4 linked regions of the Elephas maximus indicus genome follow. The protein of the gene in region 4 purifies or fractionates together with the protein of the main gene of each other region. This does not show direct contact. Links are inferred from orthologs where the notes say so. Each region holds a gene or a part of one and is shown on either strand. Other genes may lie near its edges. The genes, in order: MED16, POLR2B, MED31 and MED9.

Region 1 (7,864 bases), on a different chromosome or scaffold from region 4:
GTAAGAACACAAACTTCTCTTTGTTAAAGCCATGCACTTGTGGTATTTCTGTTATATCGGCACTAGATGACCAAAACACAGGACTTTGGCCAATAACTGCTCCTGCTCCAGCTATCTTTCTGATACACCATAACTTTAAAAATTTGGGACTGTTCCAGTGACGCTTCCTTGGCCATGACTGAACCAGGCAGAACCCGTTTCAAGCCCCACTGACAACCAGGTGCTCATCCCAGGTGTGAACCAGGCCCAGGGCTCAAGAAATCAGGGGACAATGGTGGTGGTGGGAGACGGGGAGACAGGTGGCCAGGTGAATGGGTAGGATGGCAAGATCTCACCCACCAACCTACTCACTCAGGTGGGCCACTCACCTTTTCCACATGGAGGGCCAGCTTCACTCCATTGTGTAGCCAGGACAGGGCCACGATGGGGTCCCCCTCCACCAGGCTGCCCACTGGGCTCTCCCAGCTATTGGCCAGGTGGTCTGCCATGCCCCAGCACTTGATCTGGCCGTCAGCATCGGCCGAGAGGAGCCGGGAGCCTGTGGGGACAAAGCTGCATCACAAACCTTCCCCAGAAGGCAGGGGCAAACTCCCAAGGGGCCTGGGAAGGGGGGACAGGTTTCGAGGGTACAGACGGTATGAGAGGAGTGCCCAGTGGAAGGCGTGGCCTGGGCAAAGGCCCAGCAGTCGGGAGGCCTGAGGTGCGCTCAGGAAACGTCTCTGGACACAGTGAGCAGGAGAGACTGATGGCAGGAGGTCCAAGTCCCAACTCTACAGTTGGAGATGTGAGCATGTCGCAGCCCAACCCGGGGCCCGTTCCTCACCTGACTGGTCCCACTCGAGGCAGGTGATGGCCTCACGGTGCTCCGAGTCAATGGAGTGCACCTCCCAGGGGTGTTCCGTGTCCAGGATATGGATCATACGAGTCAGGTCTGTGGGACGGAGCACGGTCAGCATGGCCCGGAAGTGGTACGGAGCACCGTCAGCATGGCCCTGAAGGAGCACCCTGAGGACCCCAGGCAGGCTCAACTGAGCAGCCCACCAAAGACCCCATTCACAGGGAAGCTGTGGAGCTGCCATCAATCACGTTGAGGACAACGGTGACACAGTGAGGCGCGTGTGTGACCCCGCCAGAGGAGAGAGGCAGGCAGGGAACACACCACTGCCAATGTAATTACAACCACGTTCTCACAAAAGGCACAGAAAACAAAAATGGGAGAAAATGAACCCAAAACGCTAACAGTAAGCACTTGTCCGTGGAAGGTAACAGGTGGTTCTTTTTCCTAGTTCTAGTTTTCTGTGCTTTTCTAATTCTCTCTAACGAGCACATATTATGCAGACGATGGCAGAGAGAGACCTGGGCACTGTGTACTTCAGAGATTTTCAAAAGCCAAACAGTGACCCATATGTTCAAAGACCGAATGGAAAATGGGGCGAGTGAGTCTCCAGATACGCCTCAGTGACCCACCACCCCCCGTCCCCACTCAATCCCGTGGGAGTGAACCCAAGCACCTTGCAGGTTCCAGGCATGAGAGGTCTCCATGTTCACCCCCTGAATCCCTGTGAGGTTGGAGATCCCACTGCCCCCAGGTTATAGACAAGGGGGCAGGGTGAATGGCCAGGCTGCCCACTGGGTGAGGGGTGGAACCGGGGTCCTAGACAGGCCTGAGACTGAGCCCCACGGTGCTGGCTCCCCAGGACTCCAGGGGCACTACTGTGGTGCGGCCAGCGCACCTTGATCATCGTTCCGCAGGTCCGTGGTGAAGGCAATGAGGTTGCGGCAAGACCAGGCGCAAGCCAGGGGCACGGAAGGGCAGAGGGTGCTCCTGGGCCATTTTTCCCACTCGCAGACGTAAGCCAGGTCCATTATGCCACCTGCCACACAGCACGGATGTCACTAGCTCCTGAAGGAGGGAGGGCTTGTCATTGATGTTGGCGCCTGCAGTGTGCCAAGTGGCACTCTGGACCCTAGACATACCGCAGGAGTAAACAAAGCAGATCAAATCCTTGCCCTGGGCACTGTGTGTGTGTGGTGGGAGGATCTGCAGCTTTAAGTGGGGAAGCGATATGTGAGCACAGGGGTGAAGGAGGGAGGCAGGAGACATCTGGAGGAAGAGCCTCCAGGGAAGGGAACAGGACGTGCAAAGGCCCTGAGGCAGGACCAAGCCTGGCGAGTTGGAGAAAGGCAGCAGCATGGCTGTGGCTACAGCGAGTGAGCAGGGAGTGAGCAAGAGGAAGGAGGAGGGAAGGGCAGGGGGCCCACAGGCAGGCTGTGGACGAGGAGGACTCGCCCCGGGGCCCTGGAGGGCCGTGGCTGGAAAAAATCAAAAAACAGGAGCCCGACGGCTGTCCGCAGGAGCCCGCGGGAGGCGAGGGCAGCACACGGAGGACCCTGATTGGTGACACCGCGGAGTCGGGCTCACCCCAAAGTCTCCCCAGGCTCCTCCCGGGGACCCCACCCCAACGTGTCCCCGACCAGGCCGCCCACCAGCCCCGTCCTCCCCGGCCCCGCCCCCTGACCCGCGGGCCCCGCCCCCTGACCCGCGGGCCCCGCCCCTGACCCGCGGGCCCCGCCCTCATCAGCATTTGCTCTGCAGTCCTCGCCCCGATTCCCCCACGGCCCCCAGGCCCTGACCCCCGCGGACCTCAGGCTCCACCCCAAGTTCCCGTAACAGCCCCTGGGCCCGCCCCCGGCGCGCTGGCCGCGTACCCAGCACCCTTTGCTCCCAGACCCCGCCCCCCGGCCCTGCAGGCCCCGCCCCCGGAACGGTGGCCCTCGAGGCCCCGCCCCCGCCGGTTCCACCTATTCTGGCCCGCGCTCCCCGGGGCCGCGAGCAACGTCCGGACGCCGGACGCCCCCGCCGGGCCCGCGCAGCGCCGCGCTCACCTGGCCAGCCCGTGCGCCAAGCCGATCGGGCGGCCACGGCCCGCACTCGCGTTAACCCGCGGGCTCCGGCGCCGCCATATTACCCGGGACCAAAGAGTCGCCTGCGCGGCGTCGCAGCTTCGCAGAGACTTCTGGGACGGCCCCGCCCCAGCGCCATAATTTGCATGCGGTGGCTTATTTACATGGAAATCTTCCCAGCAGCCATCGCAGTTCTAGTTGGTAGAACAACTAGGGGACTTTCTCCACGGCAGTTATTCTTAAAATTTTTTGTTATTACTCCATGTGTTGTACTAATGTCATATAAAGGATTTATAGATTGCTAACCTTAAAAAAAGAGTGACCTTTACTGTAAAGAGATGAACAGGAGATACTATAAATATGGGACGGACTAGCGTGGTAACCGTGCTCGCTTCGGCAGCACATATACTAAAATTGGAACGATACAGAGAAGATTAGCATGGCCCCTGCGCAAGGATGACACGCAAATTCGTGAAGCGTTCCATATTTTGGTTCTTATTTCCAATCTTCATTGGAGGGTAAACTGAAGCTCCAAGGCTTGTCCCGTGGGGGGAACTGCCGGTTCCAAACCTGATTTCTTTTCCAAAATCTCATTCTTTTCCCCCCGCCAGCACTGCCCCTCTTGGGCTACCGAAGAAAACGTTCTAAAGTTGCAGGCAACGCTTCTAGCGCACCCCAACCCTGGGGAGCACCCCAACTCCGCAGCCCGTACCTTAATCCCCAAGGCTTGCCCTCTGGGAACCACTTCCCGGATAGTGACCCTCGCGCCGGTCAGTCCAGCCGGGTCTTTTGAACCCCGCACTGGGCACGCACCACCTCTACCCAACGTTTGGATTTCCATTTTCAACATCTGTCTTGAAAACGTTTTAAACGTGTGTTAAAATGGAATCGCGCACGCCCAGCGCCCAGATCTTGGTTCCCCAAATCACGCTCCGATAGTTAGAACCGGGCTCCTTGGAGAAATGGCCGATTCTAGGAGGGTGCAGAAGTATACAAAATGTGCCAGAAAATAAGGAAATAACTCGGTAAATAACCCCCCCACATGATGGGGTAGGTCGAAAGGACGCAGGAGACAACCGAAGAGCTCCCCAGGGCTGAAGTGGAATCGCTTAAGCAACAAAATAAAGTAGTATGGGATTATAATCCAAAATTTAAAGTGATCCCCCTTGAGTTCATAGTGTTATAAATAGATGATTGGATAATGTCACCGACTGAATTATGTCCCCCCCAGAATCTGTGTATAAACTTGGTTAGGCCGTGTGTGGTTGTCCTCCATTTTTGTGATTGTAATTTTACGTTAAGAGGATTAGGGTGGAATTGCAACACCACCCTCTCTCAGGTCACCACCTAGATCCAATGTAAAGGGAGTTTCCCTGGTCTGAACCACCTTTCATCTCTCAAGAGATAAAAAGAAAGGGAAGCAAGCAGAGAGTTGGGGACCTCAAACCACCAAGAAAGCTGCACCAGGAGCAGAGCGTGTCCTTTGGACACGGGGTCCCTGTGCCTGAGAAGCTCCTGGACCAGGGAAGATTGAGGACAAAGGATCTTCCTCCAGGGCTGACAGACAGAAGGCCTTCCTCTGGAGCCGACGCCCTGAATTTGGACTTGTAACCTACTAGACTGTGAGAAAATAAAATTCTCTGTTAAAAGCTATCCACTTGTGGTATTTCTGTTATAGCAGCATTAGATGACTAAGACAGATAAATTAATAGAGGGAGAACAGAGATCTCCCTGCAGAATTCAAAATACTCTGTGTAGATTCTCCAGCCTTACGCCCACCCCTAAGTGTGGGTGCATAGTGATGTCCTTCCAAAGGGCACAGCTTGGAAAGGGGGGAAAGGGCTCACTTCACAGTGCAGACACCTGACAACTCACCTGAGCCAGGTGAGCAAGGTCAATGTCACAGTGACGGTTCATGTGGACTGTATGCACCCTGATATGGTGAGATGGGGAGGGCACCTCACCCCTGGGGTTTCCTCCCCAAAACCCACAGCCTCAGTCTCCTCATGAGAAAAGCGCCAAACCCCAATCAAGGGGCCTCCCACAAAACTCCTCAGTAACACCCTTTAAAACCATCAAAGTCTCAAAAACAGGGAAAGTCTGAGAAACTGTCGCTGCCTAGAGGAGCCTGAAGAGATGCGAGAACTAAAGGTCCCGTGGGTCCCAGAAACAGGAAATCAGGGAAAAACGAAAGAAATTTGAATAAAGTGTGGACCTTAGTTCATGATAATGTATCAGTGTTGTCGTTTGGCAGCCAGTCGATTTCAAAGCATGGCGTTCCCATGTGTGCAGAGCAGAACTGAGTCAATAGGGTTTTCAAGGGTGTGACCTTTCAGAAGCAGATAACCAGGCCTTTCTTCCTAGGGGCCTCTAGGTGGGTGCCATGGATTGAATTGCGTGCCCCCAAAATGTCTGTCAACTTGGCTGGGCCGTGATTCCCAGTATTGTGTGATTGTCCATTTTGTCGTCTGACGTGATTTTCCATGTGTTGTGAATCCTGTCTCTATAACAGAAACCCTGGTGGCATAGCGGTTAAGTGCTATGGATGTTTACCAAAAGGTTGGCAGTTCAAATCCACTAGGCGCTCTTTGGAAACTCCACAGGGCAGTTCTACCCTGTCCTATAGGGTCACTATGAGTCAGAATAGACTCCACGGTAATGGGTTTGGTTTTATGATGTTGATGAAATGGGATTAGCACGGTTACGTTAATGAGGCAGGACTCAATCTGCAGGATTGGGTTGTGTCTTGAACCAATCTCTTTTGAGATATAAAAGAGAAGTGAACAGAGACAGGGGGACCGCATACCACCAAGAGAGCAACACTGGGAGCAGAGAGCGTCGTTTGGACCCAGGGTCCCTGAGCCTGAGAAGCTCCAAGACTGCGGGAAGATTGATGACAGGACCTTCCTCCAGAGCTGACAGAGAAGGCTTCCCCTGGAACTGGTACCCTGAATTTGGACTTCTACCCTCCTAGACTGTGAGACAACAAAACTTCCTGTTTGTTGAAGCCATCCACTTGTATTTCTGTTACAGCAGCACTAGATAGCTAAGACAGTGGGTTTGAACCGCCAACCTGTCAGTTAGGCATCAAGCTGTCACCCAAAGACTCCCCAGTATTGATATTGTTCATTATTGTGACAAATGGCCACACTGATGTGAGACGTTCAAAAAGGGGAAAGCAGGCATGTGGTGGATGGGGCTCTCTGAACTGTCTTCCCGGTGACTGTAAATCTGACGCTGTTGCTGTTCTAAAGTAAAAAGGCTATCTTTCTTTAAGGGTCTGAATATCCGAAGGCCACACTGGATCAAGATTAAAGTCCTCAAGGGAGGATGGTGCCATGACTGTGCAGAAAGTCCCCGTTCCCGGAGCCGAACAACTGAGGGTGACAGACTCCAGGCCCGAACCTCCCTCTCAAAATGGCTCAGAACAGGAGATGCAGACCCCAAATTCTCGTAAAAGACCAGACTTAATGGTCTGACTGAGACTAGAAAGACCCCAGAGGTTATGGTCCCCAGACCTTCTGTTAGCCCAAGACAGGAAGCATTCCCAAAGCCAACTCTTCATACAGGGATTGGACTGGACTACGGGGTAGAAAATGATACTGGTGAAGAGTGAGCTTCTTGGATCGAGTAGACGCATGAGACTATGTGGGCAGCTCCTGTGTGGAGGGGAGATGAGAGGCCGGAGGGGGTCAGAAACCGACTGGACATGAAAATACAGAGTGGGGGGAAGGAGTGTGCTGTCTTATTAGGGCGAGAGCAACTAGGAGTATATAGCAAGGTGTTCACAAATTTTTGTATGAGAGACTGACTTGATTTGTAAGCTTTGACTTAAAGCACAATAAAAAAAAAAAAAAGGCTCAGAAAATAGTCATTGGGAAATGGATCCAGTGACCAGAGGAATGGCATTCACAGGCCCCTCCTGCCACCTCCCTGGCGTCTGAGCTTCCAAAACAAAAACACTGTGAGCAGGGGGATACAAAATTACCATTGGTGGGAAACAAATAACCCAGGCCAGGAAGTGCAGCTAAATAGATTTCTGAGCATGGTATTACTTGCCCTGAGCCAGGGTTTTACCTGCATCAATTATCTCACATAATCCTCCTGCCGACCCTGTTTATCACATGGGGAAACTGAGGCACAGAGAGGTTAGTGACGCATCCAAGGTCACACAGCTGAAAAGAGGCAGAGGTGGGATTCGAACCGGGGGTACTCAAGAGATTAACGGCCTGGCAGCACCCAACAGGGTTCCCATGAGTACCTTCTACAGGGATAGCATTCTTATCAGGGAATCTCATCCCGCCAGGCCTGCAGCCCTCAGTGACCAGCACACACACCACCCAAAGAAAAAGCCGCCCAGCCCGAGGGCAGAGCACCAGAAATTTATTGAACCCTCCATTTTCCCAAAAACACAACTAACCACACACTCGGAAGGGGGGTCCCCAGCCCTGCTCTCACAGCCTGGGGTAGGGTGACCAGCAGAGAGGCCGGAGACTCCCTGACTCAATGGGCCAGAGCCAGGCTGGGGGACACAGGGGACATGAGGTGGGGGAACAGGGCTTTCTGAGGACAGGAGCTTCTGGCTGGAAGTCCTGAGCCCCCAGAGTACCAAGGAAGGGAGAGGGAAGTGGGGGTATGAGGGGACACGTAGAGCTGCCCATGTCACACAAGCAAAAACACATCAGCCAAAAGGCACCAGGGGAGGACACACGTTCCAAAAAGAGGATTAATCCAGCCTTTAAAACGCTGTTCCTGGCCTGGGTAGTGGGGCACGCACACGCACAAACACACACAAGACACGAAGCTCCTGGGGCAACGGTGGGGCCCCAGAGACTCCCCCCGAACCCAAGCAAGAAACAGGGATTGGGTGGGGCAGGGGCTGGATGAAGCCCCACCGTGTCTCAGCAGGGGTGAGTTTTGGTTTTTCTCCCCTGAGAGGGAAATTTAAAATCTACAACAA
Region 2 (7,835 bases), on a different chromosome or scaffold from region 4:
TAAGCGTGGCTATGAATGGAAAGAGGAAGACAAAAATACCGGGAGAAAAAAAAAGAAAACAGTGAAAAGAGGGTTTAACTGTGAATGGTGTATCCTGTGAATGACATCTAATATTTTACACAGAAACCAGATGAAAAGTAGTGTCTGAAAACTGATAAGATGGTGTCTAACAGATTTCAAAGGGCACAGACGTGAATGGAATGTACTCAATCCTAGAGCATTCATGAACATGATAACTTTAACTCTTTTTCCACAGGCATTATTATTATACATCGCTAATAAGAATGTAAAATTGTACAATTACCTTGGCGGTCACTTAGCACCATCTATCAAAATGTTAAATGTGTCTAACATTTGAACCAACAATTCTATACCCAGGAATTTATTCGAGACATACTTGTACGTGGGAAAAAAAACATATGTACAAGATTATGAACCACTGTTTGAACTAGAAAAAGACTGGAAATAACCAATGTCCATCAACAAGACACTACCTAATTAAGTTACAGATATCCATACAAACTAGGTTAACTATGGTAGAAAAACGAGGCTTTCTATATACTAATAGAAAATCTCCTAAATTTATTAAGCAAAAAATAAAAGTGCAGAGAAGTGTGAATATTAGCTTCTATTTGTAAAAGGGGGAAAAATAAAAACCTGTTATGTTGAGTCAATTCTGACTCATTGCAACCCTACAGGACTGAACAAAGCTGCCCCACAGAATCTCATTTGTATTTGCTTAAATATGCATAAAAGAAATTCTGGAGTAATAAGTAAGAATCTAAAAAGAGTGATTACTCATTTGTGGAAGGGATTAAAGTAGACAGATGGTAAACAAGAATGAGAACAGGCACTTTAAAGTGTTTGTAATTTCTAGCTGGTGAGCCATGAGAATACAGTACCTACTCAAAAACTTAAAACTTTAAAATTTTCTTCTGAGATAAAGTTAAGAAGAAAAAGAAATGTAAAGATGCTGATGAACTTCTAGACAAAAGATATGAATCAGACAGAATCATTACAGCAGAGTTTTAACTTTCCGTTTCTATTTTCTCCGTGAAGTAGCTAACAGAATGACAAGAAAAGCAAGCAGTGACCATAGGATAAGGAGCTGGAGGAGAATGAAGTTTGAAATAGTAACTGTAGGCAATCGAAGAGGGAGCTTTAAAAACACAACATGAAAATACACTAGACATGATTAAAAATTCTTTATACAAAAAGAAAAAGGATACGTTCCACCTGTTCAGTAAAACGTATTATCAAGCAAGAACAATTACTACAATTCCTTGTGGGAAGAGTAAGTTTAAAAGCCATCTTTTAAGACAATTTGCTTAGACTTAAGACAGCATGAGGAATGCCAAACTAGATCAACCCCTTCTCCAGTGTATTTCCAGGGCCTAGCACGATGTCAGAAATTCAAGCCAGATTCAGAAGAGGACATGGAACAAGGAATACCATTGCTGAAGTCAAAGGAATTTTGGTTGACAGAAACAATACCAGAAATATGTTTACCTGTGTTTTATTAACTGTGCAAAGGTATTCGACTGTGTGCATCATAACAAATTATGGATAACACCGTGAAGAATGGGAATTCCAGGACGCTTTATTGTGCTCATGAGGAACCTGTACTTAGACCAAGAGGCAGTCGTTAGAACAGAACAAGGGGATACTGGGTGGTTTAAAGTCAAGAAAGGTGTGCGTCAGGGTTGTATCCTTTCATCATACTCATTCAATATGTATGCTGAGCAAACAATCTGAAACGCTGGATTATATGAAGAGGAAAGTGGCATCAGGATTGGTGGAAGACTCACTAACAAGCTGCGATATGCGGATGACACAACCTTGCTTTCTGAAAGTGAAGAGGATTTGAAGCACTTTACTGGTGAAGGTCAAAGACCACAGCCTTCAGTATAGATTACACCTCGATACAAAGAAAACAAAAATCCTCACAACTGTACCAATAAACAACATCATGATAAACAGAAAAAATACTGAAGTCACGGAGTTCATTTTACATGGATCCAGAATCAATGCACATGGAAGCAGCAGTCAAGAAATCAAACGACGTACTGTACTAATCTGCTGCAAAAGACCTCTTTAAAGTATTTAAAAGCAAAGCTGTCACCTTGAGGACTAAGATGCGGCTGATCCAAGCCACGGTATTTTCCATCAAGTATGCATGTGAAAGCTCGACAATGAATGAAGACCCAAGAAGAACTGATGCCTTTGAACTACGGTATTGGCGAAGAATACTGAATATACCACGGACTGCCAGAAGTTGGAACAAATCTGACTCGGAGTAAGTACAGCCGGAATGCTCCTTAGAAACGAGGATGGTGAGACTTCGCCTCATGTACCTTGGACATGTTAAAACAAGGGACCAGTCCCTGAAGTACATCATGCTTGGTAGAGGGTCAGCAAAAAAGAGGAAGACCCTCACGGCACCTAATGACAACAACAGCACAATGCCTGGCACAAGGGTGACGCTCATTAATTGAACTAGTCGATAAAACCACTAACTGTGGCCCTAAGGGAAATCAAGAAAAGAGCACTTTGCTTCAGATCAAGTCAAAACAACCATATTTGTCTTACGGTTCTGTACGTTTTTGCAATACCGCAGGTAAATAGCACAATTAACAGGATAGAGAATAGAGAGGGAGAAGAGAATAACAGTCATTTGACTAGGAACTTCAACGTCACGTTCCCTGCACCCTCCACCTCTCGCAACCTGGCTTCGTTCTCGGCCTGTAGTATGCGAGGACCACAACCGGGGACACTTGTGCGGCTGGCGGGGGTCGGCCACAAATCCTCAATCCGTCCAGTTACCCAAATTCCCCACCCTAACTGGGTCGCCGCGGAGTGAGATTTGAGTGGTCACCTACCCTCGTCCGCGTCATACATATTGGCAAAAGGTACCGGAGCGCCTAGCTCTTGAAATCTAGAGAGACAGAAAAGAGCGAAGCAGCCGCCAGCTCCCGGAGAGCGCGTCGAAGTAATTTCCGTCTCCGGCGTTCCCAGAATACTGTGCGTCTTACACCAAAAAAAAAAAAAAAAACACCAAAAAAAGCCACCCACAAAGAAGCAAATATTAGAACTGCGCTTGCGCAAATGATAGAGCATGTTGGCTAGGGTTGGCTTTACGCACGCGCAAATTCTGACACGACGCCTCTAGTGGCTGTTCGCTAGAACTCCTCGTACTGTTTGAGGGTATTCGGCCAGTGCAGGTTTTTTTTTATTGTGTGCACACTCTGAGTGTTGTTGCGCAAATAATGATTTTTTTTTTTAGCCAAGGTGTATTAATTTAAAAAGTGTTATTAATAAAAGGCTTTCGTTGCGGCCCTGCTTCTGCGACACTCGTTTTATTTTCTGCACTTCTGAAGACCAAAAAACACGCAAGCTTTTAAAATGTAATTTATTAAGAGCAGGGTATGCTAGCGGTGGAGCGTTGAAGGAATCTGAATAGTTCAAAGCATGCACTATCCTCTTGTGGCAGCTAAGTGAGTATTTAGGTCCCAGATTCGTGGCCTCAAAGCCTTCCAATCGCGAGAACTCACGGAATTCAAAACGGGAGGAGGAGCCAGAATGATAGCTCCCAGACACCCCGGGGTTTTCGACTCGCGTTTGCCTCGCGCCTCGGTCCCGAGTGCGCATGTGCGGAGGTGGCTCCGCCCTTTTGCCCAGGTGCCGCGTTTCTCATGCTGCCCGCACGCCTAACCCGTGAGTTGTTCCTCTCGTTGTTGCGGGCCTCAGCTCCTGTGGTAGTGCGCCATGGCCTCCGGGAGCCGCTGCTCGAGAGAGGATACGCGGCCGCCTACTCCTTCCAGCACCCCTCCGGCCTGGGACGTGGGCTTTCTTATGGCCCGACGGCGACTGGGGGCTACGGAGGAAGGACTGACATGGAGGAGCAATTTCTGTTCCCTGAGTACGTCGCGGAGCCGGAGCCCGCGCCGACCCCCGAAGAGGAGCTGCAGCAGCAGCTGCAGCGGCAGGAGGAGGAGGAGCGAGAGAAGCAGCAGCGGCGGGAGGAGCGACGCCAGCAGAAGCTACGGGTCAGCCGCCGGGTGCACCCGATCGTAGGGCACCCAGACGCGGCGGTGCCGCCCAGCGGCGTGAACTGCTCAGGCTGCGGGGCGGAGCTGCACTGCCAGAACCCCGACGTGCCCGGCTACCTGCCCAGCGAGAAGTTCCTCAGCGCCGCGGCGCAGGCCGACGGCGGGCTGGCGCGGACCGTGTGCCAGCGCTGCTGGCTGCTGGTGCACCACCGGCGCGCTCTGCGCGTGCAGGTGAGCCGCGAGCAGTACCGGGAGCTCGTGAGCTCCGCGCTCCGACGGCCGGGTCCCGCACTGGTGCTCTACATGGTGGACCTGCTCGACCTGCCCGACGCCCTGCTGCCCGACCTGCCGGCGCTGGTGGGCCCCAAACAACTGATCGTGCTGGGGAACAAGGTGGACCTGCTGCCCCAGGACGCCCCCGGCTACCGGCGCCGGCTCCGGGAGCGGCTGTGGAACGACTGTGCCCGCGCCGGCCTCCTGCCGCCTCGTAGGTACCGAGGGCCACAGGGCCCCGGCGGAGACGGCCCTGGGGACCCGGAGGAAAATCCGAATCCGTCGGCCAAGCCCCGCACGGTACTCAGGGACGTGCGGCTGATAAGCGCCAAAACCGGTTACGGGGTCGAAGAGTTGATCTCCGCGCTTCAGCGCTCCTGGCGCTACCGTGGTGACGTCTACCTGGTGGGCGCCACCAACGCCGGCAAGTCCACTCTCTTCAACACACTCCTAGAATCCGACTACTGCATCGCCAAGGGCGCCGAGGCCATCGACAGGGCCACCATCTCCACCTGGCCAGGTGAGCCGTACGAGGCTCGCCCCTTTCGGTTTTTGAGAAGTTGGACTTCTGGTCGTGACCCCAGGCGTCTAGTACAGCATTTGTAATGTCCACCAGGAGGTGCTTACAGTTTTCCCTTTAGAAATTCTTTCCCAACTTTGGTCACAGGTCTCTTTTCTGAGTCATCTTAGTGCTTGGACAATCTGTATGCATTGTAGTAATTTTGTAATAGAACTATTTATGGAGCGTTTCTATGTGCCGGTCACTGTTCTAGGCACTGGAGATACAAAGTTCCTGCTGTCTTGGAGGTTTCCCTTGTAACTTCTTTGTGTGTTTCTCTGAAACGTTATGTTTCCTTTTATGCTCTGAACTTACACCCTTCAGTCCTACTTCTCATATCTTGAGTTTATTCATACAAATGTGAAGTGTGCTATACACACATTTCACATTTTGAAAAATTCAGTGAAGCAATATGATGTGTGGCTCTGTCTAGAAGAAATGTCGATTTTGTGGCTTTAAGAAGTTTCTGTAATCGAAAAATGGGTCATTCTATGAGCCTGTTGGAGGCCTCGTGGCGCAATGGATAAGAGCTAGGCCACTAGTCGAAGGGTTGGCAGTTCAAATCTACCAGCCGCTCCTTGGAAACCCTATGGGGCAGTTCTCCTGTGGGGTCGCTATGAGTCGGAACCTACTTGAAGGCACGTAACAACAACGTGACCCTGTTAGTATTTAACAGTTGGCAATAGGGTCACTATGAGTCAGAATCGACTGAAAAGGCAACAGGTTTGGTGGAGTTTTTTTGTTTGTTTTTTTGGTTTAATCTTTTGTGGGTACTAACTGTCCCAGTTTTTCCTTTGAAACTAGAATTGAGCTTTGGCAAGCTTTTTTCTTTCTCGGCCTTGAACTTTATTGTTTTGGTTTTGTTTTGTTGTATTGTGCTTTAGGTGAGGGTTTACAGCACAAATTAATTTCTCATTCAAAAATTTATACACAAATCATTTTGTAATGTTGGTTGTAGTCCCCACAATGTGACAGCATACTCCCCCTTTCCACCCCGGGTTCCCTGTGTCCATTTGTCCAGTTTTCCCATCCTTTTCTGCCTTCTCATCTTGCTTTTGGGCACTAGTTGCCCATTTGGTCTGGTATACTTGATTGAACAAAAAAAAAATTGTTATTTAGGCCTGTCTAATCTTTGTCTGGAAGTTGGAGTTCGGAAGTGGCTTCAGTTCTGAGTTAGCAGGGTTTCTGGGGGCCATAGTCTCGGGGGCTCCTCCAGTCTCTGTGAGACCAGTAAGTCTGGTCTTTTTTGTGTGAACTTGAATTTTGTCCTACATTTTTCTCTTGCTCTGTCCAGGACGCTATTGTGATCTCTGTCAGAGTGGCTGGTGGTGGTAACCCGGCACCATCTAGTTCTGAGCTCAGGCTAGTGGAGGCTGTGTGTGGTTCATTTGGTCCATTGATCTTTTGGGCTAATATTTTCTTTGTGTCTTTGGTTTTCTTTCTGCTTTGAACTTTGGTTGAATTATACAGGAAAGTGCTTCTATGCATGGTGAATATGGAAAGAAATCAGATCTGCAAATTTTGGATTCAAATCCTGAGCCAATCTGAGCCTGTTTTTTCATCTGTAAAATGGGAATAATTTTATAGAGGGTTATCACAAAGCTTAAGTGAGATAAATCACGGTATCCAACACAGTGTAACTCTTCAAAAATGTTAGTCGTTCCCCGCCCCGCGCGTTTCTTTTTTTTTTTTTTGGTACAGCATTTATAAAAGCCCACTTATTCTTTGGTATTTTAGGTACTACATTAAACCTTCTGAAGTTTCCTATTTGCAACCCAACGCCTTATAGAATGTTTGAAAGGCAAAAGAGGCTTAAAAAAGATGCAAGAAAAGCTGAAGAAGATCTTACAGAGCAAGAACAAAATCAACTTAATCTCTTGAAAAAGCATGGTTATGTAGTAGGTAAGCATCTTCCGTAGGAAAGCTGTTGTTGGTTCTGTGCTAAAATTCTTCGGAGTGCCACCTGAAATACAGCTGTCGTGGGCTAGCTAGTTTTTGTGGAGAAAATAGAAGCCCTTCAGATGCAAAGCTTCTCTTTGGAAACCCAGAGGTTAGTACGCTGGGACCATAGTTACTTGGAGGAGTCCAGAAAAGAAACCATGCAATAGCTGCTGCCCTAGCCATTGTCAGCAGTAGAAACATTTCCTCAGGAGGCACCCTATTCAATGCAGACCATTACAGGTAGTGAAGGTGATTCCCTGCAGCAGCTTTAAATTAATCTGTCCTCCTTTTCTTGGTATCTGTTTCCAGCCTTTCATTAATAAAAACAGTTTGATTTCCAACACCACACTACCCCCAACACTACACAGCCAGTTGTACACTTGATCATTGCAACAGTCTGACTCCCACTGCCTTTGGGGAAAAAAGCAAAGTTGGTATCGTGGTCTTATTTCCATAGATTGTAGTTAACATTAGTAACTTTTTTAAGGCAAACATAAAATTTACCTATCTGACACACAGTGTAGGGGAAGTCAGCACAACTGGACTAAACCAAAAGCTAAGAAGTTTCCCGAACACAACCAAATACTTCAAGGGACAGAATAGCAGGGGCAGGGGTCTGGGGACCATGATTTCGGGGGACATCTAGGTCACTTGGCCTAAAAAAGTTTATTAAGAAAATGTTCTGCATCCCACTTTGGTGAGTGGCATCTGGGGTCTTAAAAGCTAGCAAGTGGCCGTCTAAGATGTATCAATTGGTCCCAACCCAACTGGAGCAAAAGCAAATGAAGAACACCAAAGGCACATGGAAAATATTAGCCCAAGGGACAGAAAGGGCCACATAAACCAGAGACTCCATCAGCCTGAGACGAGAAGAACTAGATGGTGCCTGCCTACTGCCACTGACCACCCTGACAGGGAACACAGAGTCCCTGATGGAGTAGGAGAAAAGTGGGGTGCAGAACTCAAATTCTTGTAAAAAGACCAGACTTAATGGTCTGACTGAGACTGGAGAA
Region 3 (7,436 bases), on a different chromosome or scaffold from region 4:
CATACCCTGAATGATCAATAAATGAGCTATATACTTAATGATAAAAAAAAAAAAAAGTCATGGATGTGAAGCACTTAGCGCAGTATTTAGCACATAAAAAAAGACAGCAGCTGTAAGACTTAGGCAAGGTTACCTTGTCTACCTCAACATAAAGGAAACAAAAATCCTCACAACTGGACCAATAAGCAACATCATGGTACCAAACCTGCTGTTGTCAAGTCAACTCTAACGCACACCCACCCTTTAAGACAGATTAGAACTGCCCCATAGGGTTTCCAAGGAGCAGCTGATGGATTCAAACTGCCGACCCTTTGGTTAGCAGCTGTAGCCTCTTAACCACCATGCCACCAGGACTCCAACGTCATGGTAAGTGGAGAAAATATTGAAGTTGTCAAGGATTTAATTTTACTTGGATCCACCATCAACACCCATGGAAGCAACAGTCAAGAAATCAAATGATGTATATTGCATTGGGCAAATCTGCTGCAAAAAAACTTCTTTTAAGAGTTAAAAAGCAGATGTCACTTTGAGGACTGAGGTGTGCCTGACCCAAATCATGGTATTTTCAATTGCCTCATATGCACGCAAAAGCTGGACATTGAATATGGAAGACTGAAAAAGAATTGATGCCTTTGAATTATGGCGTTGGCAAAGAATACTGACTATACCACTGACTGCTAGAAGAACGAACGTATCTGTCTTGGGAGAAGCATAGCCAGAATGCTCCTTAGAAGTGAGGATGGCGAGATTTCACCTCATGTACCTTGGACATGTTGTCAGGAGGGACAAATCTGGAGAAGGACATCAAGCTTGGTCAAGTACAGGGTCAGCGAAAAAGAGGAAGACCCTCAACGAGATGAGCTGACACAGAGGCTGCAACAATGGGCTCAAATATAACAGCAATTGTGAGGATGTCACAGGACTGGGCAGTGTTTCGTTCTGTTGTACACAGGGTGGCTATGAGTCAGAACCAACTCAACAGCACCTAACAACAACATCTTGTCTAGGGCACCTCAGAAACTCCTTCCCTGCAAGTACACCTTTCTGTGTTCTTTAATTTTCAGCCTATGGCTATGTCATTGCACTTTTAAGCTGGGTTCCTTAGGGTCAGAAACTGAGTGAGATGGAGTGAGTAGTACAAGACAAGGTCGTACAAGAAGGGGTCAGATCATATACGGACTTAGCCCATGAACAAAGACTGGATTTTATTCTGCATACAATAGAAACCCATTGAAAAATTCTAGCGAGAAAGTGGTGTGTTCTGATTTACATTTTTAAGGGATAAAGTTAGCTTCTGTGAAGAAAATATTGTTTTGCTTTGTTTGGTTTGGGGGTAAGGGAGGGAGGTGAGTGAGAGCAGTGATAACCAGTCACTAGATCACTGTAATCCAAGTGAGCAGATGAGGGTGCCTTGTATTAAGGTGGTGACAACTAAAAGAGGTCCGGAGAATCAAAATATATATTTTTTCCAATTTGAAACTAAGAAGTCTGTTAAAGATCAGTATAACAAATACACACACATACTTAGGATTATAAAAATTAAACTTACTTTAGATACTTGGCATATTCTGGCTCTTTCCAGTAAAGCAAGTATTTTAGATAATTAACAAAAGCTTTGTCTTTGAAGTAACCTCTTTGGGCAAGAACTGAAAGGCACAAAAAAAAAAAAAAAAAAATCTGTAGGTCAAACCCATCCTTGGGCCACTGGTTTGTGACTCCTAACATACAAAGAATTTGCTTACTTTAACATCCCCACCACAAACACACACTGAATTCAAAACAAGCTCCAGCATGCTCAATTACATCTATACAACAGTATAAGTGTAGCACTAATTCTACTCAATTAAGCTAAAAGGTATAAAAATAGGTACTATTATGAATTGCAACTCTTCTGTCGGAAATCATTAATATTTGTACATATTCAATTTAAGGAGGTGCCCAACAACTTACAATTAAGGTAATTTGGGTTGGCTAAACACTGCACAAATTCCAACTCCAGCTGAAACCGAAGTCGATTTCCAGCATCATCTAGGACAGAAGACATCGAAAGTCACCCAAAATAAATGTCACTATATATGTAATCCTGATTTGTAGAAAGGCCGTAATAAAGAAACCTGACTAATGTTGAAGTACATTTCTGTATAAAGAAGAGTATATGATGATTTTCCTAAACTGGGTGTGGGAGGAGGTAAACCTTCCTTTGAAGTCTAAAAAAAAAGAGGAGCTCTGATTAAAAGGAATAAGTTAGGAGTTTTTCTAACATCAAAGAGAAGTCAACAAAAGCAGGAATATACAGAGTACCTACCACTTGGGGGCCACTGGGACTTTAAATCACTGAAATAGGCTGTAACAATTTTGCCTTCCCCTACCTTAATAATGCACTATAACAACAATCGTTAAGTCACTAAATTAAGGTACAGTTCAGTGAGTGCTAAATCAGGAAAAAACTCAAAATGCAAGCCGAAAAAGACGACTACACAGAGTGTGAAAGACCATGAAGTATGTGCACACCTGAGAAACTTCAATAACAGCAGAATGATACACAAGTTTGTCGACGGTATTTCAAACTTGTGCAAGCTTATTTGAAACGCAGAAAATAAACCGAGGAGGAGGCCATTGAAGATACCTCAGCCTCGCCCACGCCGGGAAGCCGACGGGGTCAGTGTTTGCATAGCAAGCGTGGAGAAAATATCTGAGAACCAACGAAACTCTAAAAAGGCAAAAACTACCTTCGCCTTTCCAGACGCCACAAGAAACACCGCCCCTCCCTCTCCGGGCTCTAATCCTGCCGGGAGTTAGGCCCGAAAGGAGGCCAAGAGGAAACGGGAGATAGTGTCTGGACCAAAAATAGTACTATTTGCGAATATTCGAGGCTCAGAGCGCTACTCACCTGTCTCCATGGCGACGGCAGCGGCCATAAAAACCAAAGACACTTGCCCGCCACCACTCGACAAAACAACTGACCGCAGCCACTGGGTAGATGCCGGAAGTCACAGCTTCACCTTCCGGTCCCGGGGCAGTGTGGGATACCGGGGGCGGAGGTGGGCCGAGCCTCGCCCTGTAGCTCTCAGCTCCGCCCATCGCCGTCCGGCCCCGCCCTGGCCCCGCCCACGCAAGCTTTCGAGGGGCTACCGGCTGGTGCGAGAGCCAAGCCCAAGGCAGCCCGGCCTTTCCTCCGGGAGGTCCTGAGGGCGAGGGGCTTTCAGCCTCTACAAGACCCTCAGTATCCCGTGTCATCATGTTGTGGCCCTCTCGCCCGTGACAGCATCGTAGTCTTCCACCATTGTGCCTGCAATGACATAATACGTCATTATGACGTCATTCCTTAACAAGTGACCCTGTGTCCTAACCCAGAGGCTTGATGGAGGGCGAGCGTGGGCTGTGAGCCCTCGAGGCCTCGTTGGCCCGCGATACAGCCCCAGAATGGCCTCGCCCCTTAGGGGAAAGCCCTCTTCACCCCGAGTGGAGACGGTCCGCCATAAGGAGACTTCGACGGTTCGCGTGGAGACCTCGTCCCACCGCGTGGAGACATCCTCTAGGCAGGTGCGAACGTCTTCCCGTCAGGTGGAGACCTCCCTGCGCCGCAGCGAGGGGCCCCCCACTGCCCCCTTTGGGAAACGGCTCCCTCACGTCCTCGAGGTGTCCTCCCAGCACGTGGAAACCTCCTCCCAGTGCACGGAAACGTCCTCCCGCCACATCCGGGCGTCGACTCTGCGAGTGGAGACGTCTCTGCACCACGTGGAGAGCCCGGCCCGGCGGGACAAGCCGGCGGCCCGCCAGAACGTAAAAACGGCCCCGTGAGATGCTGTCCAAAGGCCACGAGAGGGCCCTGGCCCTTGGCCACCGAACGATTGCCTCCAGTTTCCAGCCAGTCAGCTGCCAGGAGGACCAGTTGTCTTTGGTTTCATGGAACCAAGCCATAAATGAATGTAAGAAGCAGCCAAGCTGTGATTTCTGGACTCAGCCAACTGTTACTGACCGCCCTGCACCTTCGACCATCCTACCTTTGACCCAGTGACTGTTTTAATTTGAAGCCAACCCAAAAAGTTTTCAGGCCTATGATACTGTATAAATTGGGCTGGATGGACAAAGAGGCTGCTTGAGCTTCTGAGCCAGGTGAGTTTTGGATTGATAGCCACTGATAGAAAGACTTTTACAGTCGCAAACTTGTGGAACAGGGACCACACTGAAAGTAGTCATGACCTGTTAAAAGCCTAAGGGGCAAGGAACAGAAGTTCATGATTAATTGGCCTTTGTTTATGTTTCAGATTAACAAGTTAATTATTTTCTTTATGCCAAACACTTGTACATGGTACTCCTGACCACACACTTTTTAATACAGGTCAAAGGTAGTTAAAAATGAAAGGTGAAGGCAAACAACAACAACAAAAATCAATAAAAATCCTAGAAGGGAGGTGAGAGGAGGTCATTAAAACCTGACCTGTGGTTTGAGGATGATGGAGGGGAAGAATATTTATTGATTACCTGCTGGTGCCAGGCACTATTCTAAGCACTGGGCTATCGCAGTGAACAGGATAGACAAGGGCCCTCCTCTCATGGAGCTTGTTGTTGTTAGTTACCATGTGTCAGCTCCAGCTCATAGCAGCCCCATGTACAACAGAATGTAACATTTCCTGATCCCTCCCTATCTTCATGGTCTTATCTTCCAGCGTTGTATCTGACAATGTTTTGCTGATCCTTAGGGTTTTCATTGGCTGATTTTCTGAAGTAGATTACCTGGCCTTTCTTCCTAGTCTCTCAGTCTGGAAGCTCTGCTGAAACAGGTCTACCATGGGTGACCTTGCTGGTATTTGAAATATTGGTAGCATAGCTTCCAGCATCATAGCAACACACAAACTACCGCGGTATGACAAACTGACAGATGAGTGGTGGTCATGGAGCTTACACTCTAATAAAGACAAAAAAAGGCAGGCAACAAACAACAAGACAATTTTCTATTGTAATTAGCAGTACAAAGGAAATAAATAAGCAATGTGATAGAAAATGAGGGTAAGGAGTTATTTAGAGAGGGTGGTCAGGGAAGGCCTTGCTGAGAAGGAGACATTTGATCTGAGGTTTGTATGTGTGAACAGTGAGCCATGCAAAGATCTGGAGAGGATGCATTTTTGGCAGAGGGAACAGCAAGTGCAAAGGGTTGGGTAGGAACCAGCTCGGAAAGTTTGAGGAACAGAAGGAAGACTAGTGTGGCTTAGTAAGTGAGAGCAGGAGCATGACTTGGCAGAGACGAGATTAGTGAAGTAGGCAGGGGCCAGATCATAGAGCATCTTGTAAGACATGGTGTGGAGCTTGGGTTTTATTCTAAGCTCAATGGGAAGACATTGGAGAGTTTTCAGCAGGGGAGTGACATTATGCAATTTACATTTTCGAAAGATCCTCTGGCTGCTGTGTGTACAATGAATGTAGGGCAGGGTTCTCAGCCAAGGGTGGTTTTATCCCCCAGGGGACATTTGGCAATGTCTAGAGACATGTTTGTCAAAGCTGGTGGGGGTGCTACTGGCATCCAGTGAGTAGAGGCCAAGGATGCTGCTCAGCAATGCACAGGTCAGCGCCCCCACAGCAATTACTTGGCCCAAAGTGTCAATAATGCCGAGAATGAGCAACCCTGATGTACGGAACAAGAGAGGAATCAGGGAGATTATTTAGGAGGCTAATGCCATGGTCCAACAACAGATGATAATGGCTTAGTCTAGGGTGGCAGAAGTGGAGCTAGAGAGAAGTGGACAGACTAGGGGTGTGTTTTCAGGCAGAGCTGGCCTAACTGACTGATTAGATATGGAAGGTGAGGGAAAGAGAAACAGAGGAATCAAGGATGACTCTGAAGTTTTGGCTTGAGCAGTCAAGTAAATGGTGCCGTGTACTGAGACGAGAAATATTAGGGAAGGGCATGTTTAGGAGGGAAAATTGCTTCTGTTTTGGTCATGTTGAGTTTGAGACACTTATATGATAACCAAGTGGAGACATTGAGTGGCAGTTGAATTAAGAGACTGGCTACCATGAGAGAGATGAGGGTTAGAAATATAAAATGTGGCATCATCAGTACATAAATGGCGCTTAAACCCATGGAACTGTCAGTTGCTCAGCTGCCAGTTTCTGCCCCCTTCATTTCATGTTGCATGAATAAAATTAAGACCTTGTTCTTTAAGGAGCACCAGCAAGTCAAAGCATCTATTCCCTCTCTCTCAACGACATAGGGCCAGGCTTGACCCACCTAATTTTTCCTTGCCTGTAGTCCATTTTTTTTGTAGTCCCTTGGCAGCTACCAATAAGGGAGAAAGTTTGCTTCACAAAATTTGACTTTCACAGCCAACATTAGTACACTGCTATTGGGAAGAAGGTCTTAAACCAATTTCTAGTGGTTCAAGGATTCTTTTGGGGGTGGGGGTGGGGGAGGGCATGGATATTAACGTGTAGTTCTAGCTCCAGGTCCTCAAGGGAAACTAAAGAACAACTGAATTGATTTCTAACAATGGTTCTCAGCCAGGGGCAGTTTTGCCCAACAGCGGGTACTTGGCAGTGTCTGGAGATATATTTGGTTGTCACGACTGGAGCAAAGGCAGGAGTGGGTACCACTGGCATCTAAGGGTATAAGCCAGGGACGCTGCTAAGTATCCTACAAAGCACAGGTCAACTCCCTACAACAAAGAGTTACTCGGCCCAAAATGTCAAGAGTGCCAAGGCTGAGAAACTTCGAAGTTTCCAGCAGCTTGGAAAGCTAGAGCATTGCCCAATCTCTTCAGAGCAGTTGTTTTGTGTGAGGCCTACGTACTAGTGGGAAAGGGTTAGAGATAGTGACCTCTGGTGAAGAGCAGGGCAGGAGAGCTCAGAGAAGAGAGATATGTTGCTCTTTGAGGAACCTTAACACCCCTGCTTTCAATAGTTTATGTGATATTTATCCCAGGAAGACAGGTGATCCCATCTGTGGGCTATAAGTTATCTTGGTAATGTGGGCCCACATTGTGAGGTAGAGTACTTGATATTGCCAGGCCCTGTGATAAGTCATTACCCATGTTATTCATTTAATTACAGGGAAGTACACTGGGCTCTTCCATTGTACAGAGGCTCAGGCCAGGAGAAATGTTATAAAACCCTGGAGGCTAGCCTAATGCTTCTGACTCATAACACTTCCACTATAAATTAATAAACTAATAATTAGCCTTGGGAATTTTAGTCTTTGGTGAGCTTACTAATTCTTTTTAACATGGATGACTATGGGCATTACATGCAAACACCCTCTTAATCAATGTTTTTTAAATTTTTAAGGTAGTTCTCTTTAACAATGCTCTTTATTAAAGTTTTTATTACAGAAGTGATATGTGCTTAATGTAACAAATGAAATAAGTCAAGGATGTGTAACCATTTGATGTCATTCCTTTCCATTCCCATTCTCTGGAGATAATTAACGTCAACTATCTGGT
Region 4 (7,821 bases):
GAACCGTAGTCACCTGTTGCTTTGAGTTCCCTGTCAGAGGACTGTGGGGATCCGTTTCTTAAAGAGACTTTTAAGTGATCCTCCTGTTATTAGTCCCACTTTCACCCTTATTTCCAGAGGTTCCTGATACTGCTGATTCCTGGAATCTCGGGAGAGGCCACGGTGAAAGATCAAGGGTTTCATCTTACTCGGATCTACAGTCAATGCCCACGGAAGCAGCAGTCAAGAAATCAAATGACATATTGCACTGGACAAATCTGCTGCAAAAAACCTCTTTTAGGTGTTGAAAAGCAAAGATATCACTTTAAGGACTGGGTGCACCTGAGCCAAGCCATGGTATTTTCAATTGCCTCATATGCATGTAAAAGCTGGACAATGACTAAGGTAGACTGAGGAAGAATTGATTCCTCTGAATCATGGTGTTGGTGAGGAATACTGAATATACCATGGACTTCCAGAAGAATGAAAAAATCTGTCTTGGAAGAAGTATAGCCAGAGTGCTCCTCAGAAGCGAGGATGGTTGAGACTTCATCTCGCGTACTTTGGACATGTTATCAGGAGGGACCACTCCTTGGAGAAGGACATCATGCTTGGTAATGCTGAGCGTCACTGAAAAAGAGGAAGAACCTCAACGAGATGGATTGACACAGTGGCTGCAATGATGGGCTCAAGCATACGAAGGATTGTGAGGATGGTGCTGGACCAGGTAATGTTTTGTTCTGTTGTGCACAGGGTAACTATGAGTCGGAACTGACTTGACAGCACCTAAAAACAACAGCACGGTCAAAGGTGGACTGCTCTCAGGGCTGGTAGGTGAGTCAGCCCTTGACCGCCTGCCCTGTGGCAATCATCTCCTCTCCTGTTCTTTTTAGTTTTATACATTAAAAAAAAAAGAAAGAAAGAAAAACCCCTTCACTGTCCTTTTAGAGGAAACAGAGATGAATGCATGAGATTAACCCGCCGTCTTTCCCAGGGGGGAAAGTACACTTGAGTATACTGCACAACAATTCAGCAATTTCACAGGAGAAAAAGAGGCTCAGAGAAGTTAAGTTACTGGTGCAAGGTCATCCAGCTAGCATATTATAGAGCTATAATCTGAACCCCTAGTTTGAGGTCCATTATTATTATCCACATATTGAGATGAGAGAATTAAGGCCTAACACACCTGAATCCGGCACCGCCTGACTTCAAAGCCTATGTTCTCTCTAGTATAATTTACTGCCCCATCCTTAAAGCCAGCAGAACCCCACTGCTCTATCAGGGCTCAGGAACATACTCTCAGAGGTCTAAGAACCGTCTCTGCGAATGTGTATATTTTGGGTTTTCATTTTCCCAGATTTTTTAAAAACTAGCGTAAGTATATCTGGGTTAACCTGGCCAACCCCTTCATAATCCAGTACTGCCCCAGGAGTGTGGGGTGTGCACTTGCATTTGTCTTTGCAAACTCACTGTTGCCAAGAACAGAGTCTGCTTCACTTTTGTTTATGCAACGCGAAGCCAGACGAAGTCAGGGTCTAATGTGAGAACAAAGGTTTTGCAATAGTTTGAAGAGAAAAATGGTGGAAACATCATGTATCCCACAGCAAGTGAATTTAGGCTGGCTACTCAAAAGAATCTGGGCCATTAATGGTCCGTATGTTCATGTGGGAGCCCTGGTTGTGCAGAGGTTAAGGGCTCAGCTGCAAGCCAAAAGGTCAGCGGTTTGAATCCACCAGCCACTCCCTGAAAACCCTATGGAGCAATTCTACTCTGCCCTATAGGGTTGCTATGAGTTGGAATCAACTCCAAAGCAATGGGTTTGGTTTTTTTTATTTGTTTGTTTCTTTTATCCTCATGTAGCAATTCCATTTCAGCAAAACATCAAACAGCGTACTAATGTGCATTTGAATTGTGCTAGAATAGTAATTTCGTTTTAACCTACTTTGTGCATTTGTATTGGTTTAATGGCTAAATAAATTATAAGCATAAGGGGTTTCCACCTAGTATCCTGTGGATAGATATTCAAGTAACAAGAATAAAAATAACTTAGGTAAAAATGGGGATCAGGGAGACCTTTGGTTTTTTTTTCTTTTACAGGGGTCAGTTTGAAAACTCTAGCTAACTTGAATCCTGGCCAAAAGGATGACAACCACCCCCTATGGTACTATGTTAGAAGGAAATTAGTGCCACAGGATCTAATCTGGTGGGGAACTTGTTTCTTTTAATCATCAGCCCTTCCTTATCATCTTAAATTATGTGTCTTTCCCATTCCTTCTAACTGGCACACTCCACAGCACTTAGCCGTGTGTCATACAGGAAGGAGGGCCAAAACCTGTTGGCTGAATAGAAAAAAGGAGCCAAAGTGAGAATTACCCCCATATAACAGATGAGAAAACTGAGGGTCAGAGAGGCTGAACTTGCTCAAGATGGCTGCGATGCAAACTTTTTTTTTTTACTCCAGAGTCTGTGAATTTAGTCTCTGAGCTGACTTCATTCTTATTAATATCGGCTGGCCATCATGAGGCCTGGTAACTCTTAGGGATCAAGGCATTTGCTGACCTCATGGAAAGGCTCTGCGAGGTCCTGGGAAAAGCCTCTTTCCCCTCCGGTTCCGAAGCCCCATATGTAAAATGGGGGCAGCCTCTAAGCCTCTTCCAGCTCTGACAGGGGTGTGACGCGAAGCAGGGGGGAGTGTCGTGGATGGTCATCTTCTAGGGCCTTACCATTTGATGATGTTGTGAACCAGAGGTAAAAAGGAGTAATTCTCCTCCTCTTTCACGCCCGCAGGTGACTGCGGCCTCGGCGCGGGCGACTGCTGCGGCTGAGGCGCAGCGACCGGCGTTGGCGGCTGAGAAGGCGGCAGCGGCTTCGTCTCTGGAAGCTGCGGCTCGGCCGGCGGCGGCAACACATCCTCCGCCTGACGCCCGGGGGCCACACCAGCGGAGGCCATGAAGTTCAGGGGTCTGTCAGTCAATCAGCAGGACCCTGGGGGGATCAACACGCCGAAAGCGTCACGGATTTCATACGTCACCGCTGCGCGCCGGCAGGAAGGGTCTACGCATGCGCACAGGCGTATGGGTGCCGGGCAAAGGGGCTGGGCAGTGCTTGGCGACTGTTGCTGGGCAACAGGCTGTTGGCGGGCCTGGGTGGCCTGAACTTGGCTGTGAGTCAACATGGCTAAATTATTAAACACTCGGAAATAGGAGACTTATTTCAAAAAATAACCCAGTCTTTCTTATTCCTATTCATCTGACGAAGAGAGCCCAAACGCAACCAACACGGAAACCTTGCGATAAATAAGGCTCAGCGTGGCCCAAACTCAACCCATTGCCCTTGAGTTGATTCCAACTCATAGTGATCCTATAGGGCAGAGTAGAACAGCCCCATATGGGATTTTCAAGGAGCAGCTGCTGGATTCGAACTGCCAACCTTTGATTAGCAGCCACAGCTCTTAACCACTGCGCCACCAGGGCTCCCACCATCCGCCATTCCTCTGGAAGGTCTCCTGAAGAAAAAAAAGTTGAACTATGGGAAGACTGAAAAAAAAAAAAAAAAAAAGAAACCAAACCCACTGTGGTGGAGTCGATTCAGACTCTTAGCGACCCTACAGGACAGAGTAGAACTGCCTCATAGGGTTTCCTAGGCTGTAACCTTTAGAATTGTTTTTTGTTTCTTTCACTTTTACAGAAGCAGATAGCCCCGTCTTTCTCCTGCAGATTGTCTGGATGGGTTCCAGCCACCAACCTTTAATTTAGCAGCTGAACACTTAAACGTTCTACCACCAGGGCTCCTTCAGAAGGGATTAACCACCCCTCCCCCCGAAAAAACAAAAAAAAAATAACAAAGCTAAACCTGTTGCCATGGAGTAGATTCCAACTCACAGCGATCCCATATGTTACAGTGTGAAACTGCTCCACAGGGTTTCTTGGCTGTAGTTTTTATGGAAGCAGATCACCAGGCCTTCCTTCTGCAGGGCTGCTAGGTGGGTTCAAACTGCCAACCTTTAGGATAGTAATTGAGCATAAATCTGTTTGCACCACCCAAGGACCTAGATGGGGATTCATGCCACAAATAATAATACATTGAAGAATTTCAAATACTCTCTGTCATGGATTGAATTGTGTCCCCCCAAAAATATGTGTCAACTTGGTTAGGCCATGATTCCCAGTATTGTGTGGTTGTCCTCCATTTTGTGATTGTAATTAATTTATATTGAGAGGATTAGGGTGGGATTTTTTAGCACCACCCTTACTCAGGTCACCTCCCTGATCCAAGGTAGAGTTTCCCTGGGGTGTGGCCTGCATCACCTTTTCTCTCTCAAGAGAGTAAAGGAAAGGGAAGCAAGCAGAGAGTTGGGGACCTCATACCACCAAGAAAGCAGCACCAGAAGCAGGGTGTGTCCTTTGGACACAGGGTCCCTGTGCCTAAGATGCTCCTCAACCAGGGGAAGATTGAGGATAAGGATCTTCCTCCAGAGCCAACAGAGAGAAAGCCTTCCCCTGGAGCTGACACCCTGAATTTGGACTTGTAACCTACTAGACTGTGAGAAATTAAATTTCTATTTATTAAAGCCATCACTTGTGGTATTTCTTTTATAGCAGTACTAGATAACTAAGACACTCTTCATACTTCTGGGCCAGTTCCTTAAGCTCCCTAGGTCCCAGTTTCCTTACCTCCGAAGCCTAGACTGCTTTCTAAGTTTAAATATGTGGCTGACCCCTGAAGGTAGGTCTCATTTGCATGAGGACCCCCTGGGACCCAAGGAATCAGGGAGACTTCTGGTGGTTTGTGGTTATGTTCCTCAAATAGGTACGACCAGGGGACTGTACAATAAATGTCTAGGCTGGGCAGCCAGTGGAAGAAGAAAGGCATGGGCTAGGAAAGCCTTCATTTGGCATCATTCCTCAGTCTACCATCATGGGCAGTAAGGAGTCCACCTTCAGGCAGCCAGATGAGCAGTAACTGATATTTCGGAAGCATGGGGAGCAGGCAGATCCTTGGGCAGCAAGATTGCAGAGTGGAAACTGGGTGTTGTTGGGGGTGCTGGAGAGGAAAGGGAGGGGGAGAGGCCTGCAGGGACCTCCTCACCTAAGGGAAGAGTTCAAGAGTTCTTGTGGAGAATAGAGGAGAAAGGACTATTGGGATAAGACCAGATGTGCTGGAAGAGAGGGTATACATTTGGAGTCACCTGGGGGAAATAATGATGGAATAATGGTAATAATAATAATAATAACCATAGCTACCATGGAATAAAAGAAGGTACAAGAAACAGAATTACAATATTATCTCATTTAATCCACAAAGGAGTTTTAGAAGGTAGATGTTTGCATTCCCATTTTATAGATGAGGAAACTGAGTCTTACAACGGTTAAGACCCTGGTCCCGGGGTCACACACACAACTTTCCTGGCACCAAGCCTGTGCATAAGAGACCTCAGGTCCCTTCCAATTCTGAAACTTTATGATTCAAAATGTTAAAGTTAAGTTCTTATTCAGAATTCAAAAAGCAATCTGCTATTCATCAATAATATCCCCATGGTGACTGCATGTCATCTTCCTCTCCTGGTGTGTTTTATAACTTCATCATGAATCTTTGTCATTGCCGGAATAATCTTTTTTTAAAAAAACACTTCAAGTATAAATAGATATGGCTAAAGAAAACAATTTGAAAATGTATTAAGCATGAACAAGTATGGCACATTGACAATTTGTCCTAAAAATAGTTAATATAATTAGGGGCAAAGAGTAAAGCTGACTTCACAAGGATGCAAGTGGATGTCACAAAAATACTGCCTGTGCTGGTTTCATTAAAGCTTCAATTGCGGCAACAAACATGTGTCTGTTTATAACCGCCTTGTGAAGAGTCAGAAAAAGGCAGCTGCTTCATTGATACCTAAGGAGTATATGTTGTTATGAACGTCACAGAGTTAAGCTATATGTGGATCACTTTCCGAAGCAGCTTCTTAAAGGGCTTTGTCTGGTCAGGTGGAGGTTGTGAGTTCAGGCTTCAGAACCAACCTGCTGGCTTTCCATCCCAGCTCCGCTTCTGAAGTTGGACGGCTTTGGACAATTGTTTCCTGATTCAACCTCATAGAAGGATTGAGTGAGGTTATACAGGTAAAGCATGTAGAGAAGTATCTTCACTCAGCAAACATTAATTCTTATTATTCAGATGTAGGGTTTCCTCCCTCACCAATTAAAAAAAATCAACTGGTGGCAGTTAAGAAGAATAGTCTAGAATGATCTAGATCAGCACTCTAATAGAAATGTCATTTTCAATTTTCTCTTAGCCACATTAAAAAAAAAGAAATGGGTGAATTTAATGTTAATACATTTTACTTAACCCACAATCAAAATATTATTATTTCAACATGTAATCTATATTAAAAATTGCGAACAAGGTATTTTATTGTCTACATGTAAATGTTTTGTCTAAAATAGTCCATTTTCTCCTATGTATTTCACTATAATATCAGTATAATAATAAGAGAAATCCTATAGAACAGTGGCCAAACAACATAAAGAAACATGTCTTTAGGTAGAAGGAAAATGATTCTAGGTAGAAATTTGAGTCTATACAGTGGAATGAAGAACTCTGAAAATAGTCAATATGTGCATAAGTATGAAATATATTTTTCTCCTTTTTAAAATAATATTTTATTGTTGTAAAGATGGCATGAGGTGGCATCTGATCTCCTCTAACTTCATAAGGGTGAAGGAGAATCAAGATCAACAGCCCAAGGCTGGTTCTTCTGAGGCAGAGGTCAGACTTGCCTCCTCTTTCTGCCATCTTTACCAATTCTGACACCAACTGTCCCTCCCACAACACTCTACTTCTCTGCTAGTTTCGATAGTTCATTACAGTGGCTACACAGAACTCAAGGACAATACTCACAATTATGAGGTTTATTACGGGTTACAATTCAGGTTCAGGAACTCTCAGAATACAGTTCTTCCATCAGGACAACCTCTTCTCAGCTGTGCCCACAGGCAGGCCTCTCTCTGGCTCCTGCTCGGGCAAGTGTTACCAAGCTCTTTTAGTTCTGCTGCTAAGTGCCCAGAGGCATCCCACTCCATCAGTAAACCTCAGCCCAAAGGTGCTCAGCTCTAGCTCTGTGGATGGGCAAACTTAGCTCTATCAAGTGCCTGGAAGCACCCTACTCCACCAGCAAACCTCCTGCCTGAAGGTACACTGCTTTCTCACTCCATGGACTGGAAAGCACACTGCACCATCTCCCTGCATGTTCTCTCCTGCAGCCATTTCTCTGGCATTGCTTCTCACCATCTTCAGTGTTGCAGCTCTCTCTGTCTCTCTCTCTTGTTCTCCTGGTTCCAGGAGCTTCTCAGCACAGGAATCCTGGGTCCAAAGGAGCTGCTTTGCTCTTGGCCCGTCTTCCTTGGTAGTGGGGAGATCCCCTCCTTCTTGCCTCTGGGATGGCTCATCTTAAGCCTAAGGGGATGGCAAAACTGACCAATCCCTTTGGTGGGCCACAATTACCTTATTTGCATAGTCCCACCCAATCACTTGGGTGGGATTTCCAAGACCATGGCAGGAAGACCACACAAAAGAGATCCATAGCACCATGATTGTGTTTTTAGTGAAAGTTTATGTAGCAGGTTAGGTTTCCCTTTGACAATTTCCACACAAACTGATCAATGACGTTAGTTACACTTTTCACATTGTGTCAGCGTTCTCATTAGGTGTATTCTGGTTGTTCTATTTCCAGTACTCTAGTTTTCCTGCCTCCTTGTCTTCAAATCTTTGCTTTGGATTAAATGTTGATCTTTTGGACTCATACAGATTTTTTTTTTTTTTTCAGTACAGCACCAATCTAATGGATAC

Evidence for each region.
Region 1: the proteins of MED9 (region 4) and MED16 purify together in Homo sapiens (affinity purification with mass spectrometry; 5 studies listed by BioGRID and IntAct, with this or other methods). This does not show direct contact. The link is inferred for Elephas maximus indicus from reciprocal best matches to the Homo sapiens genes MED9 and MED16.
Region 2: the proteins of MED9 (region 4) and POLR2B purify together in Homo sapiens (affinity purification with mass spectrometry; 4 studies listed by BioGRID and IntAct, with this or other methods). This does not show direct contact. The link is inferred for Elephas maximus indicus from reciprocal best matches to the Homo sapiens genes MED9 and POLR2B.
Region 3: the proteins of MED9 (region 4) and MED31 purify together in Homo sapiens (affinity purification with mass spectrometry; 4 studies listed by BioGRID and IntAct, with this or other methods). This does not show direct contact. The link is inferred for Elephas maximus indicus from reciprocal best matches to the Homo sapiens genes MED9 and MED31.

What each region holds. Positions count from the first base shown.
Region 1 is NC_064821.1:626,187-634,050, forward strand, and holds the start of MED16 (mediator of RNA polymerase II transcription subunit 16), read right to left. Parts: upstream 3,004-7,864; 5' UTR 2,887-3,003; intron 1,904-2,886; exon of another isoform or gene 1,875-1,903; 5' UTR 1,867-1,874; coding exon 1,734-1,866; intron 932-1,733; coding exon 824-931; intron 539-823; coding exon 369-538; intron 1-368. UniProt on the Homo sapiens protein: Component of the Mediator complex, a coactivator involved in the regulated transcription of nearly all RNA polymerase II-dependent genes.
Region 2 is NC_064823.1:104,050,947-104,058,781, forward strand, and holds the start of POLR2B (DNA-directed RNA polymerase II subunit RPB2), read right to left. Parts: upstream 3,001-7,835; 5' UTR 2,899-3,000; coding exon 2,880-2,898; intron 1-2,879. Other genes in the region: NOA1 (nitric oxide-associated protein 1), read left to right, coding at 3,693-4,842, 6,619-6,783. UniProt on the Homo sapiens protein: Catalytic core component of RNA polymerase II (Pol II), a DNA-dependent RNA polymerase which synthesizes mRNA precursors and many functional non-coding RNAs using the four ribonucleoside triphosphates as substrates.
Region 3 is NC_064837.1:16,396,716-16,404,151, forward strand, and holds the start of MED31 (mediator of RNA polymerase II transcription subunit 31), read right to left. Parts: upstream 3,003-7,436; 5' UTR 2,919-3,002; coding exon 2,891-2,918; intron 2,029-2,890; coding exon 1,951-2,028; intron 1,647-1,950; coding exon 1,550-1,646; intron 1-1,549. Other genes in the region: C19H17orf100 (uncharacterized protein C17orf100 homolog), read left to right, coding at 3,424-3,801. UniProt on the Homo sapiens protein: Component of the Mediator complex, a coactivator involved in the regulated transcription of nearly all RNA polymerase II-dependent genes.
Region 4 is NC_064820.1:214,931,022-214,938,842, forward strand, and holds the start of MED9 (mediator of RNA polymerase II transcription subunit 9), read right to left. Parts: upstream 3,012-7,821; 5' UTR 2,930-3,011; coding exon 2,703-2,929; intron 2,693-2,702; exon of another isoform or gene 2,688-2,692; coding exon of another isoform or gene 2,539-2,687; intron 1-2,538.